Linked DNA regions of Mytilus edulis. Each later gene encodes a partner of the first gene's protein in a complex. Links are inferred from orthologs where the notes say so. Each region holds a gene or a part of one and is shown in the gene's direction. Other genes may lie near its edges. The genes, in order: mediator of RNA polymerase II transcription subunit 20-like and mediator of RNA polymerase II transcription subunit 18-like.

Region 1 (10,360 bases):
GTCAGATTTGCTCTAAATGCTTCCATTTTTGAGATATAAGCCAAAAACTGCATTTGACCCCTATGTTCTATTTTAAGTAACGGCGGCCATGTTTTTTGACGGATCAAAAATCGAAGCACACACTTTGTGCAGGATAATCTAAGGAACAATCATTTTAAGTTTCATTCAAATCCATTCAGTAGTTTCAGAGGAGAAGATGTTTGAAAAATTGTTAACGACGACAGATGACGACGACGGACGCCAAGTGATGAGAAAAGCTCACTTGGCCTTTTAGGCCAGGTGAGCTAAAAAGAAAATGTGATATGATTGCCAATGAAACAACTCTTCACATGAGACCAAAATGACACATAAATTAACAACTATAGGCCACCGTACGACCTTCAACAATGAGCAAAGCCCATACCGCAAAGTCAGCTATAAAAGGCTGAAATGAAATGAAATAACAATGTAAATCAATTTAAATGAGAAAACTACTGGCCTTATTTATTTACAAAAATGAACGAAATGGTATGGTTCATCAGACCAAAGACATATAATATTATGTATTGTATATTAAATAATTTGATCAGACTACGACTTCATTTTCATAGAATGCTGATAATTTTTAAGTTGATGTGATATTTGTAGTAAAATCTTCAAATTTCAGACTGACCATGAAACCAATAATCAGTAAAACAGACAAGAGACACTTCAGCATGTGAATTCTTATATTTTTTTTGTACCTTGACCTCATTTTCACGGTTTATTGGTCTGAAATTTTGTATTTTGGTTTTCCACTATAAGTAATAGGTCAACTATATTTGGTGTGGAATTGTCAAGTTTCTGTAGTAAAAAATCCTTTTGTAAGATACCACAATTAGTAGGTCAACTTTATTTGGAATGGTTGTAAGATGAACATGTCTGCCGTACAGGGTTTATCTGACTTTCACCTTAAATTATTGTTTTAAATATTAATTTTCCAAATGAAATCTGTTTCTCAGATACTATAAACAATTAGGTCCACTATATATTTGATGTACGGAATGATTGTTACTGTTAGTTGTACATGTCTGTCTGACAGTCTTCACCTGACCATGACCTCATGTTCATTGTTCATTTTTTTGGTCTGTTTCTTGTATACTTTAAGCAAGAGGTCAATCATAATTGGTGTATTCATTGTAAGTTTATTCTCATCCTAAAAATACACGAAATATTTGCCTCAGTTAAGCAAACAATAGTCAATCATAAAAACTTAGCCCTGTACAAATCTTAAGAACTTTTAACATTGTACCAATAATGATTGTCGTCACTGCCAGTTTATCTCTGGTTAAAAAAATTAATTTGAGCATACAGGAATCCCATCTTTGAGAAAATGTATGAAGGCAATCCTTTAACTTTGGTATCACCAGTCTTGAGAAATGAATAGTCTTATCCTATCTTTAAATCTTAACATTTTACCATTACATCAAAACTGTAAATTACGAGGAACTGGAAGAGTGATTGTCTGAAAACATGGACAAATAAAAGACTTGATAACAGAAACAGGGGTTGTGTAAAAGAGACAACAACTCAACCAAAGAGCAAAGATCAGCTGGCCCGAACAATAATGTATACTTAGTTCAGCAAATTGGACAACACACTTAACTCAAAACATAACCCATTTTGCACGCAGGAAAGACAAAGTAATGGAAAGGATATCAGATAGAGATGTCTTGGCTCTGGTTATAAATTAGGAAATACCTGCTTTTGTATACTTTTATCCTTCAAACAAGGCAAAACTTTATAAACTGCTATAAGGAAATATAAACTGGAAAAAGTGAGTAAACAAAAGTTAACATACAATTTTTAAAAATCATTTGATTAGAGCTACATATTCCTGGGCCTATAGAAAACTCTAATATACCACAACAAATTACTTTATTTGTTGTTAAAACAATATATGTACAACATAATAAAATCTTATAACCATGTATCATATGCGATGTTAATTGTTTTATGTTTGTTCCAAGTCTTGTCTGCCTTAGAGTAAATGAGATGATACAAAAAAGTATGAAGATGGCTTAGTTCCTGCTCAATAACCTTTGCATCCATGATTCACTTCACAATTTATAGAATACATACATTAACATGATATTCAAATGGAAATGATTAAAATGTTCAAAATTTATAAAAAGATGTGTCCATCAAAAGATGAGATGATAACAATAATGAATGAATGAGAGATGGTAAAATGGAGATCTTAGTCCTTCATTTCTCCTTCTTCATCTTCTTCTTCCACTCCTCTGATGTACAAAACATTGTTACATCTGAAACAGAAAAGTAACAGACATTATTTATCTAATATGTATAGTCATTCTAATAATTATGATTCAAACTTTCTTTTTGCTACACTTTGAATCTTTGTTATTTTTGTTTTTAATCTTGTTAAATTATTTTATCATACATGGCTGACATTTCATATTTGCCATCGTTTTCCCTTTGGATGAAACTAATTCATGAATTTTCTTTTTTTACATTTTTTGCCGGTAAGAAATTGATGTGTATCACACTTTCAAATATTTTATAATAATAATAATAAACATCTGGAAATTTATTGTTATAAATGAAAGGTGAACAAAGGAACAAAATTCCATTGAATTGTGCATAGTTTATTTGTCCATGGGCAATATTTTGAATAACAAAAAATATCTTTATAGAAAAAAGGTGGCCTTGAACAGCACTTCCAAGGCAATTTCAATATAATTCATATTTTCAAGGGGCATAACTTTTTTTAACATAAAAGGGGAATGTGAGTTAGTACACGAATGCCCCTTAAGTTTTGCAATTTTCAAAAGTTTTCAGATATAAACCTTTGATATAAGAACGAAAAAATCTGGGAAGAATTGTATATGTGAGAATGCTTTCAAGACTAGACAGATAGACATCTGGTATTTCTATGCTACTGCAAAAAGTGTTGTGTGCAGGGGACATAAAGTTAATAAAGATTAAGTATTCTTAGAAAATACATGAAACAAAGCTTAATACTTTTTTTAAATTACAAATTGACATATAGACTATCTTCAGTGTGCATTTAATTAAAACAATACTTGCACAACATTTCTTCCAAAACTGAAAGCTCAAAAAATTAATCTATTTGAAATATTTGCAGTAAAGTGAAAGGAAATTATACATTATTCTTTATAATTAATTAAATACCTGATTAGAACCTCTCCAAGATTGCCTGTCTGAATACCATCAATGAATTCTTCTGTGTTAGCAAGCTAGAAACATAAAATACACAAAGCTTTAGTAAAACTTATCACTTCACATTTCCTTGAAGCTAGATCTACTTATTTTTATCTACATGTACATGTATGAGATATTATAATTCACATCTTGAAAATATCATTACATGTAACTTTTATCAACAAGTTTATCAATAATTCCAAAAAAATGAAACATGAATACTATATAATATATAATAATATCTGATTTAGCATGTTTAAAGGGCACAGCCATTTTTTTTATTTTGTTGGTACGATTTTCATAAAAAAATCAAAGTTAAAACTTTCCACTTTTTATTACATGTATTATTGCCTGACTATTCTTAATTCATTTCACCTAAAATATAAATGACTATACATGTATCTGTGTAGAAGCATTTACCTCAAATATTAAGAATGTGCATTATTTATCATGTTTCAACATAAACAGACAGAAATGATCACACAAAAACTTTAGTCCTGCTTGTCTGTGTTTTAAGAAAAAATCTGTTGTGATTTCAAAAGAAAATTCATAAATAAAAGACAATCAAAATGGATCTTGAAATTTATTTGCACAACAAAAACCAAAGTAAACTAAACCACTCTTTATAGAGAGTGAATTTCCCTTTATTGTCATAATCATGAAATATATTATACTTAACCATTTTGGAATACAGTCACAATGTTTAAAAATAAAATATTTCATGATTATGACAATTTTTTTTCAAGGAGACAAAACTTAAAAGTACTGCAAGGCAAGTCTTCTACATAATGTTTATTGGTGTCTATAAATCAACTGACCTGTAAGTTCATGTAACCATCTACAGATACCAAGTAGCCTTTATATTCCATTCCCCATTTTAGCTTGACCATCACTGGTTTTCCTGTTAGTCCATTTAAAAATGGTTTCGGGTTCATAGGTAAAGCCTAAAAGTAAACAAAATAAAAAGTTAACAAATACACAAAATAGTGTTTATTATATCATACTAAATAAGTCATATAAACAAGTTTGTAGACAGTACATGTTTATAACATTACATGTATGTTCCATAACTTTTTCATCTCTTAACAATAAAAAGTATAATGTAATAAAAAAAAACAGTCAGCTAATTATTATCTTGCATGTACATGTACACAATGTAGGTCCTACATCAACTGACATTTCAAAGCCTTCTTTTGTCTAGATTTATAAAATTGGGTTTAGAACTGAAACTTTTATCTTCCACTGGAAATTCAAAATAGCATAGTTGAACTTTCTGTTTTAGGCTGTTAAGTACATTTATTGACAATTTCTGCAGGCAATTTGTGGTTAAACAAAATGCTCATTTTATAGACAGCTTTTGAATTCATTACATTTCCAGCAATAACTTCCGTTTTAGTAAACATTGTTCGAATGTTTATGGGCATCTTCACTTCCGTTACTATGTTGTGCAAGTGATATGATGCTACAATGTATATTGCACAAATTATTTGGCAAATCAAATTCTTATAATTGCTCAGTGAACAGAATTGCCCAAAATTGTCAAACAGGCTTATTTATAATACACAGTGTTCTAGCCAGGATTTGAAAAGGGTATGGTGCTACATGTAGTTCAAAAAGGGGCAATTTTACGTGTAACTGCCATTGAAAAAAGGGCAATTTTACATGTTAATTAATGTCACTGAAAAAAAGGCAATTATTTAAGCCTCATAATTAATTAGCACATAACTTTTACTATGCATTCTTGTAAATTCAAGTTTCAGTTAAAATGGAGTAATATATTTCAAATTCAATACTTTTGGCAAATTTTTCATGGTTGACTTCATAAATCTATGGTCATGATGCTGAGACCCTTTCAGGAAGCTGTTTCTTTCATATAACATGTATGTAGTTGCTGTTATATTACCAGTCTCACCAATGTATTAACAGATTTTGTGATTTTTTTATACTAGATTGCACTTGATAGATCAGTTAATGGAAGTAAAGATATAATTTTCAAAATATTTAATTTTGAAGTGTATTCAAGTGAAAATAACTTAAAGAAATATTCTAATATGCATTTGCATTAAATTAATTTTTAATCCTTTTACAAAAAGAAACATAAATTTAAAGAATATAGTGTGAACAGGTGGAAAATAAGGGGAAGTAACTTATTTTGTTGATATACACAAATTATGTTGCATGACCTAAAGCTAAGATTATTTGTGTTAATTGACAATTATGTGTTTGACACCAAAGCTGTCAGAAGAAGCCATGCACTTAATGGGTTACTTAATTTGACAGTTTGCACAGGTAGCTGAACTTCTTGTTCATGGAAGATTTACAAATCAGCAGGTCGTCTGAGGGACAGCAGAAAAAAGGCACGGGCGTTGTGCCCTGTTCAAACTTTGTAGCTAGACCACTGATACACCATATCGCTATTTGTCCACCATTACTGGATATCACACAGGTTCCCATAAAATTTTGACGTCATAAACGAAATATCTGACGCCACAATGGATAAGTGATTGTGTACGATGTCAAAAGTTCAAGCCGTCGGGTCAGCCGGGATAATTTAGCGATAAGGTGTATAAACAGATAAACAGACATAGACTAATTCTTAGATTGACATATATTGGAAGATGGACCCATCACTGATAGTATCAGTATTTAGCTCTGCGTCATAAACTATTTTTTGTAGGTTTAAGTGATAAATTTAAATGAAATGCAAGATAATGGTGTAATGCATGTGTTATAGTAGTCTCAAAATGCATACACAAATAAAATGCGCTTTGTTATGACCTCCCCCTTTTTATATGACATCCTGGATTCCCTTTATTTAAAGCGGAATTTCATAGATTGGTCATTTTACAGAAAAGTAGGGTTAATCTAAGAACTGTGCATCGAAGATGATCAGTATATACGTACGGCCATCGTGTGTTTTCTTGTGTGATTCGATTAATAACAACAGCGTGGTCTATTCGTTTCGCCGCCGGTGGTTAATAAATAATAAGAAATTATTAACCCACAAAAAAACGAAACATTTTAATCAAAATTATTCTAAATTTTACACAATACATCAATTTTAGTGAAATTACATCAAAAGAAGCGATTTTAGTTAAATTAACTAGAATTTTATGAATTTAGTTACACATTAATATATGGTAAACTAAAATTCGTTTTGTTTGAAAACAATGAATAAATAAAATATTAAGTTATGTCCCTTGTTGTACAAAAATAATGAAATGGGAGTTGTGTGGTAATTGTTTGAAATAGGTTCAATGCATGAGCTTAAATGCACCTAACTCATTTTAAGAAATCGCAATCTGTATAGGTTAAAAAAAGTTCAAAGTCATTTCATATTGTAGAAGACTAAAAATAACTAGATTTCACTGTGCACTTTTTTTGGTCCTTGCTAAAGATAATGAAATTAACAAACTGTTGAGTTTCAGTTGATATGGTCCACTCAGTGACACAGTTTAAATCTACAATTATTGTCAGGTATCTATTGTCTCTCTGTTGTCCTTGTCAATGTACAGTCCTCTTCAAATCCAGGTTTTTGAAGAGCTAATACTGGTACTGAAAAAAATTTGATGTATGCCTTTTTGTGCTTCTTCGTTACATTTGTTGTTTTTAGTGATTAGGATGATAACACAATGTTGACTGCTGTACCCCTATTTTTTGACATTTTTACCTATTGTGTCTGTTTGTTTTGTTCATGCATCGGTGACAATATAATGGAATTTGATGCAACTGTCATACAAGTGAGAGGTTTAGCTAGCTATAAAACCAGGTTCAATCCACCATTTTCTACATTTGAAAATGCCTGTACCAAGTCAGGAATATGACAGTTCTTGTCCATTTGTTTATGATGCGTTTTGTTATTTGATTTTGCCATGTGCATGATGTGATTATGGACTTTCCGAATTGATTTTCCTCTGAGTTCAGTATTTTTTTTCCCATGAAATAAAATTTACTATTTAAAAAAATGTAGAATTATAGAAAATTGATGAAAATATGTATAAAACTTTTGCTTACTTTTTAAATTATAAAAAATATTGTATCTAATGGGATGCAGGTCGTTTTCTAACTGAGACGTTTGTAACCTTATAATTACAATATATTTATAATAGTGCGAGTCATAAGTAAATGGCCAGTGGAGCATATGAGTACTGACTTTAACAAGCTAAAGGACATGGCTCCAGTTGGTCGTCTACGAGTAGTTCTACGGTATGTTCAAAAACATTGAACAGTCGACAGTGGCCAAATGCAAGTTGGTGTGTGTTTATGCAATCCATCCCACCATTATTAACGACGTAGAGTGATGGCACAACAACCTTAACACCAAAGCTGTCATCGACAACCATTCATTCTATCTTTGACAAAAAAAAGGAGAAAATAATTATTTTTTTCAGCTTGTGTGCCATTTTTAATACTCTACTATTCACTTTATACCTCATTTTGTACCTACTGTTATTACTTTTTATTACCTGCCATTAGTTGTCCTTAAACCATTAAAGTTGTCACCGAGCATAATTACTAATTAGTTTTAATTGAAAATATTGTTATTATCAGGCCACACCAATTTGATTAATAGTTCTTTGGATTTTCCTGCTCCTGTTTTGGAGAAATTGACTTTTCAATGAAAAAAATAATTATCTCTTCTGCAAATTTTTGGGCCGCATGCCGCTCCAAAATTAGTTTATCATTGACATTTTTTTGTTTATCCTTGACATTTTTTTTTCTCATAGATGTTTTTCTTGTGCACATCCATCGATTCAAATGCACGTGTGATAAATAGATTTGTTAATAAAAGGTCAAAAATTAGGATGCCAACATGAAGTTGTGTCAGTTTATTGCAAAGGACAAGTACCATGAGTACAGAGATAATTTTAATGTGCGTATTGTTATGCGTTTACTTTACTACATTGGTTAGAGGTATAGGGGGAGGGTTGAGATCTCACAAACATGTTTAACCCCGCCGCATTTTTGCGCCTGTCCCAAGTCAGGAGCCTCTGGCCTTTGTTAGTCTTGTATTATTTTAATTTTAGTTTCTTGTGTACAATTTGGAAATTAGTATGGCGTTCATTATCACTGGACTAGTATATATTTGTTTAGGGGCCAGCTGAAGGACGCCTCCGGGTGCGGGAATTTCTCGCTACATTGAGGACCTGTTGGTGACCCTCTGCTGTTGTTTTTTATTTGGGCGGGTTGTTGTCTCTTTGACACATTCCCCATTTCCATTCTCAATTTTATAGAGTACCAGTAGTTATGGTATTAAACACACAGTTATTTGAAATGCATTTCGTTTTATTTATGAAGACCTGTTCTAGGAGATAAAATAAAAAATCTTTCGTTAGATGACCACGATCACATTTGTACTCGTTAGATCCATTGTCATCCCCAATCATTGTTTCAGCTGTTCAACAGACATAGTACGAGATCACTCTAACGTCCATCACACATACATCTAATTATATGCATAAGACATGGATCATGTTTTTCCTTTTTTTTCTTTGAAGTAACCCAGTTTGAACATGAAGATAAAGTTTTAAATTGCACAATTTAAAAAAACACATTTTACCGCTCACTCCACTTGTAGAGCACCTGCCTCATCAAAACTCAATTTCTTGAAATATATACAATCAAAAAAATTTCTCTTGCTTGCCCAATATTTTTTGGAGCTTTTGTCCTAAGAAGTACAAATCAAATTGGTGTGGCCTCAAATGAACATTTTGATCATTTTAAGAAAATAATTGTTTAAATTAAACTATTAAATTGATTTAAACTAACAATTTATAACCATATATAATTACACCAGGTACGAAACGCCTCAGTTACAAATCAACGTAGTTACGAATCAACCAGGTATAAAACGACCAGGTTACGAAAAAATTAGCATTCCTAAAAGTGGAAAGGGATTAATATTAGTTACAAAACTTGTTTTCCAATCCACTATAAATAGATATGTTTAAACGAATTAGCATTCCTGTAATTATGTTTTCATGATGTCACAATTCCTCACATTAATGGTGAAAATCAAAATCTCAAAGATATCTTTCTATTTTTCTGTTTCATATATATTTTGGTCAAAGGGTATGGCCAGTGTTTAAAATGCAGTTTAACAGCAAATTTGAAGGAAAAGGAGAGAATATAACCTTTGTTTGTTTGTATGTCCATACATCCCAAAATTGGTTTCTGTTATCTGAATTTAGTTTTCATCAACCAAATGTTATGAAACTTGTATACACTATACACAATGGTTATTACAACAAAACACAGAGCAATTTTAAATTTTGGTGGTGTTACCTTTACTGTTCAAGAGTTATGCCCCCTTACCATTGAAAATATTGCTGAATTTGTCTTTCTCTAACTTAAGTTTTCCTTTACCAAATGTTATGAAACTTATACACAATGTTTATTACCACAAAACTCAGATCAAGTACAGGTTTGGGTGACTTGAGATCACTTCTTTACTGTTCTTGAGTTATGTCCCTTTATCATGTTTATAATGTCACAAGTAAGTGAAGGCATAATCTGTGTCCCTTGGATACGTTCCCAATTTTTTTATTTTTTTAAAGCATTCTAAACTTTTGAAAATATCTAGTTTATGTGTTATTTTTTTTTAATTTTGCACATTTAAGATTGCAAGTATTGGTAATTAGGTTACAATATATGTATATATGCTATTGTTTGAAATTAAGGGCCAAATTTTGGCTGTCTCTGTCCTATATTTTTCAGTTTCCTTTGATATCCCTTTTTGATAATCATATTCAACTTTGTTCTAATTTTGTCTTTGTAGTATTTTTAGCTATGCTGTGCCTGAGGGTAAGAGTGGACAACAAGCAGTTGATATGTTACAGAAAAATGTAGAATTACTAGGAGCTACAAGATCTGGAAACTTTTGTGTTGATTGTGAAACTTACCAGTCAAATTCACAGAATAGTAAGTTATACATTGTACAAAAAAAGTAATTGTTCCTTGAATCATTATTTATGTAAGGGGATCTTATTATAACATGGTTGACATATCTATCAAAGAAGACCACAGAATTTGTTTTTTTTTTGTTGTTGCAACAACTCTCCCATCCTTTTCCTCATTTATTACTCATCTTCAAATATGACCAGATGGTTATTTTTTGTAAGCAACATTATGATGTGTACTACTTGTATTACTAGGC
Region 2 (10,629 bases), on another chromosome or scaffold:
GACCATCCCTTTCTGTCAACACTTCTCTGTGTTGTTGTCCGTCAGGGGAAATAACTACAAGATTGTTCGTCCAAAACCCAACCACATACACATAACCATCATTATCTACAGCGACCCCTAGAGGATTATCCAGAACGCTTTCATTTTGGAAGGTCCATTGTATTCCACCTTGAAAATTATAACATGTAACAGTGTGTGCTAGTCTGTTTGTATGATAGATGTTGTCTTTGAACGTTGCTAGGTAACCTTCAGTGGCCATCTCTTCTTGGACTATGTCGCTCGAAGACTCGTCATTCAGAGTTATCATTCGTATGCCTTTGTTGTAAGCGGAATAAATCAACTGATTGTCCTTCAATACTAAGCCATAATTCTGAGAATCCAGTGAAATTGTTTTCTTGATTAGTTTCCTCTCCAGGTCTATAATGGAAAGACATTGCTTATCTGATTCCCCGGATGTAACAACCAATGTATTGGTATCGCCGATGTTTATTATATGAAATACTCCACACGGTATCTCCATCTCAAAATCTTTTGATCCCTCCATGTTGAAGACTTTCACTGTCCTTTCATCGCGGAAAGTAAATGCCAATCTACCATCCAGCAGCATGCAACATCCGTAAACGCGTTGTCCTTGTGTGTTTATTGTCTTGTTTATACGCAGCTGTATATCTTCAATGGATCTTGCTTGAACGATTGGTACCATTATCTGGGCTTGTTTAGCATTCTTTCTACTCAGGACAAGATCGCAAGGTTTAGCTTCAATATATACTTCTCCAAAACTAGTTACATTTGACATGATATTCTGAATAGCACCGTTTATTTTATACTCTAGAGAACTCTGGTTCAAATCCTCACCTTGGAAAAGTGAGTGCAGGAACTTTTCTTTGCTAGAGACGTCCTCTTTTATATGCTTCATTGAAAGAAACATCTGAAGGTGCGTTCCGTGTTGTTTGATGTTTCCAATGTTTCGCTGACAATCGGCAACTTCCTTTTCCTTCTTTTCCAATGTTGATATTAACCGACGAATTTTCGAGTTTTCTTTATCTTCGTCCACATTCAGTTGTTTTATTAAATCTTTTTGTAATTTGTCAAGACGGTTGTTGATCTTTTTTCTTGTCTTCTCGATTTCTTCTTCAATTTCCTTTCTCCTCTCTTTCAAAGCTGAAATATTATCCTGTTGGTTCTCACGAATTTTTTTGATGTTTTCTGCTATTTCAACTAATGTTTCCTCTATCTCGGACAAGTCATTCGATGTTTTTGAATTAAGAATGACGTCATCTAAATTAACGATGTCATGGCATTCTTTATGGCTTTCTACAATACACTTGCTGCAACAAGGACATTCATGCATCTGGCAATAGATTTGAAACTTTTGATTGTGTTTGCTACAGATTTGACTAATCTTTAGTACATCAGCTGGTAATTGCTTGTATTCAATGATTGGTATCACTTTATGGTTTCTTGTTCCTTTGGACAAACTGTGATGTTCCTGGCATTCTGTACATAGTCCCTCGTCACATTCTGTGCACCAGATTGTAGATGGTTTGTTGATGTGGCGTGCGTCACAAACACCACAGTTTTGAGAGGATGTCGCCATTTCACACAAAAAACTGCAAATAAATATCAATAAAGAATAACAATTAACAGTAGTTGTTTAAAACAATATAACTAGAGGATCTTAAGCCTGTGTCGCTCACCTTGGTCTATGTGCATATTAAACAAAGGACACAGATGGATTCATGACATTGTGTTTTGGTGATGGTGATGTGTTTGTAGATCTTACTTTACTGAACATTCTTGCTTCTTACAATTATCTCAATTTATAATGAACTTGGCCCATTAGTTAAAGAGGAAAATATTTTATTAAAATTTACAAAAATTTACAAAATGATTAAAAATGGACTATAAAGGGCAATAACTCCTTAAGGGGTCAACTGACCTTGTTGGTCATCTTGACTTATTTGTGGATCTTACTTTGCCAAACATTATTGCTATTTATAGTTTATCTCTATCTATAATAATATTCAAGATAATAACCAAAAACAGCAAAATTTCCTAAAAATTACTAATTCAGGGGCAGCAACCAAACAACCGATTGTCTGATTCATCTGAAAATTTCAGGGCAGATAGATCTTGACTTGCAAAACAATTTAACCCCCATGTCTGAATTGCTCTTAATGCTTTGGTTTCAGAGCTATAAGCCAAAATCTACATGTTACCCCTATGTTCTATTTTGAGCCCTGGCTGCCATCTTGGTTGGTTGGCAGGGTAACCGCACACATTTTTTTAAAACAAGATACCTCAATGATGATTATGGCCAAGTATGGTTAAATTTGGACCAGTAGTTTTAGAGGAGAAGATTTTTGTAAAAGATTACAAAAAATTACGAAAAATTGGTAAAAAATGACTATAAAGGGCAACAACTCCTTAAGGGGTCAACTGACCATTTTAGTCATATTAACTTATTTGTAGATCTTATTTTGTTGAACATTATTGCTGTTTACAGTTTATCTCTATCTATAATAATAGCCAAGATAATAGCCAAAAAACATTATAATTTCCTTAAAATTGCCAATTCAGGGGCAGCAACCGGTTGTCCGATTCGTCTGAAAATTTGAGGGCTGATAGATCTTGACCTGATAAACAATTTTACCCCCTTGTCAGATTTGCTCTAAATGCTTTGGTTTCAGAGTTATAAGTCAAAATCTACATTTTACCCCTATGTTCTATTTTTAGCCATGGTGGCCATCTTGGTTGGTTGGCCGGATCACGTCACACATTTTTAAAACTAGATACCCCAATAATAATTGTGACCAAGTTTGGTTTAATTTAGCCCAGTAGTTTCAGAGGAGAAGACTTTTGTAAAAGTTAACAACGCCGGACGACGACGACGACGACGGACGACGACGACGACGACGACGACGGATGACGACGACGACGGACGACGGACGCAAAGTGATGAGAAAAGCTCACTTGGCCCTTCGGGCCAGGTGAGCTAAAAAGGGCACAGTCCGCTTGAAAGTCCTTAAATGTAGCAATACGGGGTCATCCGTATTCTAACGGACTTGCTGACTATATTTTCTTATTGTCTCTTTTTAGATCAAATATCGAATTGCTCGAATATAAAATTACACTAATTTTAAATAAACATTTGACAAATTTGGTCTATTCACAAGTATTAATTAAGCTTAATGACATTGACTTTTTAAGTTCTATTTTACTTATTTTTTAGAAAGATTGTAACAACACAAAACAGTCATGATTGAAAAGTTATGAAATAAATTACAGAAATTTACATCATGACACCTAAGTTCATTTTCTATTCTCTTAACCCCGTCCGGACAATCAGAGGTACAAGAAGGTTAAAACCGAGTAAGCCGAAAGCTATAATTGTATACAAATACAAAATTTATTGTTCAGAAATAGATTTTATTAAAACAAATCTTACTTCAATTTCTATATAAAATGAAAACAAGTTATAAATTTCATGAGACCGAGGTACTTTCCTTCACACTTAAAGCCGAATATTTGAAATCTAAGATCTAATGATATTCTTAACAGTTGAAGGGCTATATGACCAAAAAGGACCTATAAAATATAGCCTGGCATGATACTACTTGTAATATTGTTAAACTATCTGGGCCTCTCATAAAGGTTAATAAACGATTACATAACTAGTATGGCTATACATATGCTTTCATTGTAGCACATTGCATGTGATGACAGAGCCCTGCTTCAGTGTGCAGTGTTGTCGTGTTCTTCTTATAGAAATACCAACATATGAATATATAGCAAAAAAAGGTTTTATTCATAGTCTACGGGTGCATCACTCGCACCACCATTTTTAATGTTCATTAGACCTTATATTTGGGTCAAAACTCTAATTTGGAGTTCAACTTCATCAAAAACTACCTTGACCAAAAACTTTAACCAACAAGAATGTGTCGACCCCCAGTACACGGATGCCCCATCCGCACTATCATTTTCTATGTTCAGTGGACCATATAAATGAGAGAAAATCTCTACGTTGGCATTAAAATTAGAAAGACCATATCATAGGGAACATGTGTACTAAGTTTCAAGTTGATTGGACTTCAACTTCATCAAAAACTACCTCGACCAAAAACTTTAACCTGAAAACTTTAACCTGAATCGGGGCAGACAGTCCAACGAACAGACGGACGGACGCACAGAACAGAAAACATAATGCCCATAAATGGGGCATAAAAACTTTTACCTGAAGCGGGACAGACGATCGAAGGAACGCACGGACGGATGCACAACATAATACATCTAAGTGAGGCATACAAAGCATTTGTTTGGGCATGTATCTGTATTTTCCTTATTTTATATCTTCATGAAATGATACTCATGCGCTAATGCATGCAGTAGTTGAACTTCAACTGATGCGTATGTGAATTAAACGGGGAAAAAGGATATATGATATATCCAAATATTTGCACTACCGATATCGATGAAACATGTATGTCCGTGTATATATCCAGATTGATTGATTGATTGTTGGTTGCTTAACGTCCAGTGGCAAATGTTCCATGCATGTTCAAGACGAGAACAACATCATATATATCCAGTGAAAAAGTGTTTACTGTCTGTCCTAAGAGACCAATAGATGACCACATTTTAAGGGTTGCTGATAAAAAAAAAAAAGGACAAATACCTTGCAGCAGAACGAAAGTAGAAATATTATATGTTATTCAGGTCTCAGACAGGGTATATACTGTGACATTCCCGGCTTAGAGTTTATATCCCCTGAGCCGAAGGCGAAGGGGATATAAGCCCTAAGCCGGGAATGTCACAGTATATACCCTTTCTGAGACCTGAATTACACATATATTACGGATTACCCCTGACTTAATGTTATTTTCCAGTGCAGGTATTTGTTGACAACACATATATATTGAAAAACCCAACCTTATATGTTCGGCATACGTGAAGGATTTTTTAATTTTCTGTGAACATAATTTTATCGTGTATGTAATAATTTATAATAACACTTTTAACATCAAATTAAAGTATTAAAAGTGTTAATTGCGTGATTTTGTATCAAAAATGTATTATTGACTGAAGCACGTCATTATTTTCCCTCTGTGAACCTCTGACAGTCTGATAGCTTATGACTACGTCACATAGTAACCGGTGTTATGATGACGTTTTTGAGGTTCCAATTGGGGATAGAAACGTAGTATATACCCCGGCAGTTTCCTGAATATATACTGACATCTCTGAGTTGTTATCCAATCAGAAACCTCGACACATTTGTAATCCGTAATATTATATGTTATTCAGGTCTCAGACAGGGTATATACTGTGACATTCCCGGCTTAGAGTTTATATCCCCTGAGCCGAAGGCGAAGGGGATATAAGCCCTAAGCCGGGAATGTCACAGTATATACCCTTTCTGAGACCTGAATTACACATATATTACGGATTACCCCTGACTTAATGTTATTTTCCAGTGCAGGTATTTGTTGACAACACATATATATTGAAAAACCCAACCTTATATGTTCGGCATACGTGAAGGATTTTTTAATTTTCTGTGAACATAATTTTATCGTGTATGTAATAATTTATAATAACACTTTTAACATCAAATTAAAGTATTAAAAGTGTTAATTGCGTGATTTTGTATCAAAAATGTATTATTGACTGAAGCACGTCATTATTTTCCCTCTGTGAACCTCTGACAGTCTGATAGCTTATGACTACGTCACATAGTAACCGGTGTTATGATGACGTTTTTGAAGTTCCAATTGGGGATAGAAACGTAGTATATACCCCGGCAGTTTCCTGAATATATACTGACATCTCTGAGTTGTTATCCAATCAGAAACCTCGACACATTTGTAATCCGTAATATATATATATACTTTGACAAATTTCACTTTAGTCTAATGTATGTTATAGCAATATTATATATATATATAGGGAAATAAACAAAACGGCAGAATTAAAGATGAAAAAAGAATTAATATAGCAAATATCGAATGAAATCTAAAAATTACCTTTTTAATTTGACATATTCGTTCTCGTGTGGTTTATCAGCTAGAAAGATTAGTATTCATGTGATCGTTTATAAACGGATAAAAAGCGGGAATTTTAAAATTCTGTGTATGCATTTACGAGTACGATAGTTAATTGATAGTGACGTTTTAGATATAAACATAATTATTCTTCGACTTTCTAAATTCCAGTCGCTATAGTTCTTTGCTATATATATTTCAGTATATAATATTAATTTATTTCCTTTATGCAAAAGGTTAACAATACTGGCGTCAATATTTGTATGATTTCGTGAGACTAGAAATCCTTGCGAAGATCTTTTAAGATTTCTAAGCACGGGGGAGGGGGGGGGGGGGGGGGTAGAAACCCAAACCCCCCTAAATCCGCTAGTGGGACAACAAAAATAATGAATAAAAAATAATGGGGTGCTATAATATGAGGTGATAACAAGGCTCCAAAATTAAACAATTCGGTAAAACATATATATATATCTTATTCTTATTCTTATATATATACACTGATTAAAGAAAATAATAATGTCCAGAATTTACTCCCAATTTCAGAGTAGCTATTCGAGTATTAAAATAACCGGCGTACTCCTCACCCCTATCAATAACCTTTGATTCCGTAACCGTTTGTCGTTGAAACCGAACTCGATTTCGTTTTTATATGGTTAGTACAGTTTCCGGTTTCAGTTTTGTTTTTATTTTCAGAAACTGAACAATGTATTTTGGTACAATTGCTTGTAATCGAACATTTTAAGGGTAACTTTAATACTTCAATATCACAAGAGGTTTAATCCTGATATAAATGATAGAGCACAATGTCACTCAAAGCAATAACAGTAGGGAAATAAGAATAAAAGGGCAAAATTATATATGACATCTATAATGATCTACATGTATAATAGCCTATATAAAAACCATTGTTGTAAATATGACATGTATGGATAAGAGTAAGAAGACATTGAATAAAAGAAAATAAATAAGAAAAAATGAAAAGACATTTACAACAAGAAAAAAGAGATAAGAAAATGCATACCTGCCAACTTTTCAAAATGACCATGGGGGTTTTGCATGCAAGATCATGAACATTGATGAAGATGGCTCCTATATCGCAATATATGTAGTCCTACAAAACCTTCAAGGGGGCCTTCAAATTCATTTTAATGTTGGTTTTTGGCTTCTGCATACTTTTACACGCCAATAGCCATTGTAAAATTCATTGTTTTGTTTAAAATTTTGGACAAAATTGCTATTTCAAAATTTACATTTTGGAGCTTCCATGGGGGAAATCCCCCACCAATAGTGACAGTTGGCAGGTATGAAAATGGAGGAACCATGCACCAAGTGAAGTACCTGTGCTCTAAAATTGAATGATAAATCATATGAGGCAGGCTTTATCTTGAACATGTTGAAAGGGGACAAATATTCTGACATTTTTCTAATTGGTCTCATCAAATTTTTGTGAAAGCTTACTAGTCTGAGAAAGGCGTCCCAGAAAAAAAATGAAGAAGCCTTGCCAGACGTCTTATTATTTGGACTAGGGAATTGGACTATAGTGGGTAACGGGTCAGACTGATATACACAAGACAGGAATATCATACATGTACTCTTTGTGCAGCTGTTTCTATTTACATGTAATATGAGGCAGGCATTACCTGTAAATGGGGACGAAGTCTGTATGAATTATTTTTTTTGAACCTTAAATATATTTGTTAAAAAAAAGAAACGGAAATACCGTAACGTTTCCGATTTTGGTTCTGTTGTTAGGTATTTTAGTTGTGACGTTATTTAAGTTATGACGTCATATGCAATGTAAACAAAGAAACGCTATCATCAGGTAATGTTTTTTTCATATCAAGGAATTATCAAAAATGAAATTGGTATTGCGTTCCTTCCTATTTTATACTAGACTGATAAATATATATTTTACTCAAAGTTTCATACAAATGAGACCAGAAAAAGGAAGTACATTGTATATTTCTGCACAGATGCGGGAATTCAAAACATAACATAAAAAAATTGAACGATTTTGAGTTCATTAGTACATATACTCTTTGTGCAGCTGTTTCTATTTCTGAATGTTAAAAGTTAAATTAGTTTTTTTTTCTCCAGAAATGAATAATTGTTGATAAATATGATGGATCCACAATTAGCACAAGCATTAAAGGCAGCACCAACCAATGAATACCTTCTACAAGGAAGCATTTTAGACAGTTCGTTAGAAGTCTTATTGTGTAGACTGAAAGGTCTTTGTGATCATGCTGATTCTCCTGAAGAAAAATTTGTAGATCATGAAATGGTGTATGCCATCAGTAAGTATTCAGTAAAATGACGGTAAATGTTGAATAATTACATTACATGTATGTTTCAATATATGTTACTTTAACTGGCTAACAGCAATCTGGAGTCATTCTGAAATTAACCTGAATTTTAAAATGAAAATCAAAAATGTAACATTTATGAAGACAGGAGCTTTCACAATAACATGCACATATAAATAAAAGAAAGTCTTGTTTTCATGATTCTAGAATTTTCTAGCAAAAGAATTTAATTATTAATATTGAATGCTTCTTTAAATAAGTTTATAGGGTTGTTGAAGTGTTGACTGTGCACATTTTTAGAATGAAGTGCTTCTGTGGCTCAAAGAAAATGTACCCCGGCCAACACTTTTACATCCATATAAATTTACAAAAAAAACATGTCATTCTTAATTGAATATTAGTTAAACTAAGTATAGTTTTACTAATAACAGTACTTAATGAGGAAGTAATAGTTATCTATTTGATACACTTGAGCAATATGCATGTTTATAATAACATAAAAAGAAGAAATTATGCTTGATTTATTTTTTTTAAACATTTTAATATAATATAAAAAAGAAGATGTGGTTTTATTGACAATGAGACATCTCTCCACAAGAGACTAAATGACAAAGAAATTAACCATTTAGGTTGTTGTACTGCCCTTAACACTGAGCAAAGCCCATACCCAATAGTCAGCTATTGAAGGCCTCAAAATTACAAACGTAAAAAAAATTCAAACAAGAAAACTAACAGCATGAACAGCCTAATTAATGAACAAAGAAAAGAATGAAAAACAGATAAAGTAAATTTTTAGATAAGCCCATCTGTGTGTTTTGTAAACCTAATACTATACTCTGAAATTGGTAAAAATTAATGCTGTGACTTGAATGGAGAGTTGTCTCATTGGCACTTATACCCCATCTTCTTATATCTTTTAACTGTAATCATCAAGTCTTGTTTTGCTTTAATCTTTTCTTTTTATTATATTTCAAATCAGAGAATGCCAGCATTCCTCAGCCATTACAATATAGTGTCAGACATTCCCTGGTTCAACCAGAAAACTGGTAAGTCCCTGTCCAGTACTCATTGTGTTGTTGGCGGTATGTTTTTTCTACATGAGGTATAGGGGGAGGTTGAGATTTCAAAAAACAAGTTTAACCCAGCTGCAATTTTGTGCTTGTCCTGAGTCAGGAGCCTTTGTTAGTCTTATATGAATTTTAATTTTAGTTTCTTGTGTATAGTTTGGAGTTTAGTATGACTTCCATTATCACTGAACTTGTATACATATTTGTTTAGGGGCAAGCTGAAGGACGCCTCTGGATGCGGGAGTTTCACTCTATATTGAAGACCCTTTGGTGGCCTTTGGCTGTTGTCTTCTTTATGATCGGTTTGTTGTCGCTTTGATGCATTCCCCATTTTTATTCTCAATTTTATTGAGAAATTGAATTGATGTAATTTAGAAAGGTACTGAAAAATATTGCAAATATTATGAATTCATTTGTAGGAGCAGTTGCTATAGATCTGCTCAAAAATAGTTTACAATTTGAAAAGAATTCATAAGTCACATATGCATGTACACGTAATTTCAACTATTTTCACCAATAAACATGATAAAAGTCACAAAAGGAAAAAAAAGTAATGAAAATTTTCTTATACCTAACAAATGTATGTACATCATGTACATGCGCAAAGGTTTTGCAGGACCGTTTACATTCAGTTATTGAATCTGGTTCCTTTATAACTTGGAAGAAAAAGAAGAAGACATGTATACTGAAATTTTTATTCTTTTTTGATCATTTTATGAAAATAAATGAATAGTTGCAGTTATTTCAAGTTTTGACCAAATTGAAATGTAATAAAAACTTACATTTTGTAAAATCATGACAGTATTTTTTAGATTTTTTTACCTTTATAGTTTGTTTTTTGTTGATTCAGCATATTCAGAACTGGAATTAAATTTTAGTTATTGTTTTGTTGAAATTTGCTCATATGAAATAATGAAATAATTTTGAATATAGGAATATATCAGAATATATCCTTCTTGCTTCTATACCTAATCCTTAAAGATATTTGGCTATTTTTTTGTTTGCCTTTTTTTTTATATAAACTCCCAAGTTTGTATTAGGGTTGGGATTTAAAAAAAATCCAAACTCAAGCACTAATAAAGTAATATAAATTGTTGAAATGTGTATTTGATGCAGTAAAATTGGCACTGCAAATGTTCACTTAGTAAAATTTATTATCTTATATTTTCAGGCAGCTACGATACCTTGGTCATTCTGAGATGGGAGATAAAA

The links.
Region 2: mediator of RNA polymerase II transcription subunit 20-like (region 1) and mediator of RNA polymerase II transcription subunit 18-like share a complex: the UniProt entries of both Drosophila melanogaster proteins name them as parts of the mediator complex. The link is inferred for Mytilus edulis from reciprocal best matches to the Drosophila melanogaster genes MED20 and MED18.

What each region holds. Positions count from the first base shown.
Region 1 is NC_092344.1:16,047,795-16,058,154, reverse strand, and holds the start of mediator of RNA polymerase II transcription subunit 20-like, read left to right. Parts: upstream 1-7,360; 5' UTR 7,361-7,375; coding exon 7,376-7,410; intron 7,411-9,982; coding exon 9,983-10,125; intron 10,126-10,360. Other genes in the region: small nuclear ribonucleoprotein F, read right to left, coding at 2,219-2,285, 3,175-3,239, 4,023-4,148, 6,109-6,114. UniProt on the Drosophila melanogaster protein: Component of the Mediator complex, a coactivator involved in the regulated transcription of nearly all RNA polymerase II-dependent genes.
Region 2 is NC_092350.1:56,517,596-56,528,224, forward strand, and holds the start of mediator of RNA polymerase II transcription subunit 18-like, read left to right. Parts: upstream 1-6,685; 5' UTR 6,686-6,788; intron 6,789-7,501; exon of another isoform or gene 7,502-7,705; intron 7,706-7,985; exon of another isoform or gene 7,986-8,141; 5' UTR 8,142-8,163; coding exon 8,164-8,341; intron 8,342-9,329; coding exon 9,330-9,396; intron 9,397-10,588; coding exon 10,589-10,629. Other genes in the region: E3 ubiquitin-protein ligase TRIM71-like, read right to left, coding at 1-1,597. UniProt on the Drosophila melanogaster protein: Component of the Mediator complex, a coactivator involved in the regulated transcription of nearly all RNA polymerase II-dependent genes.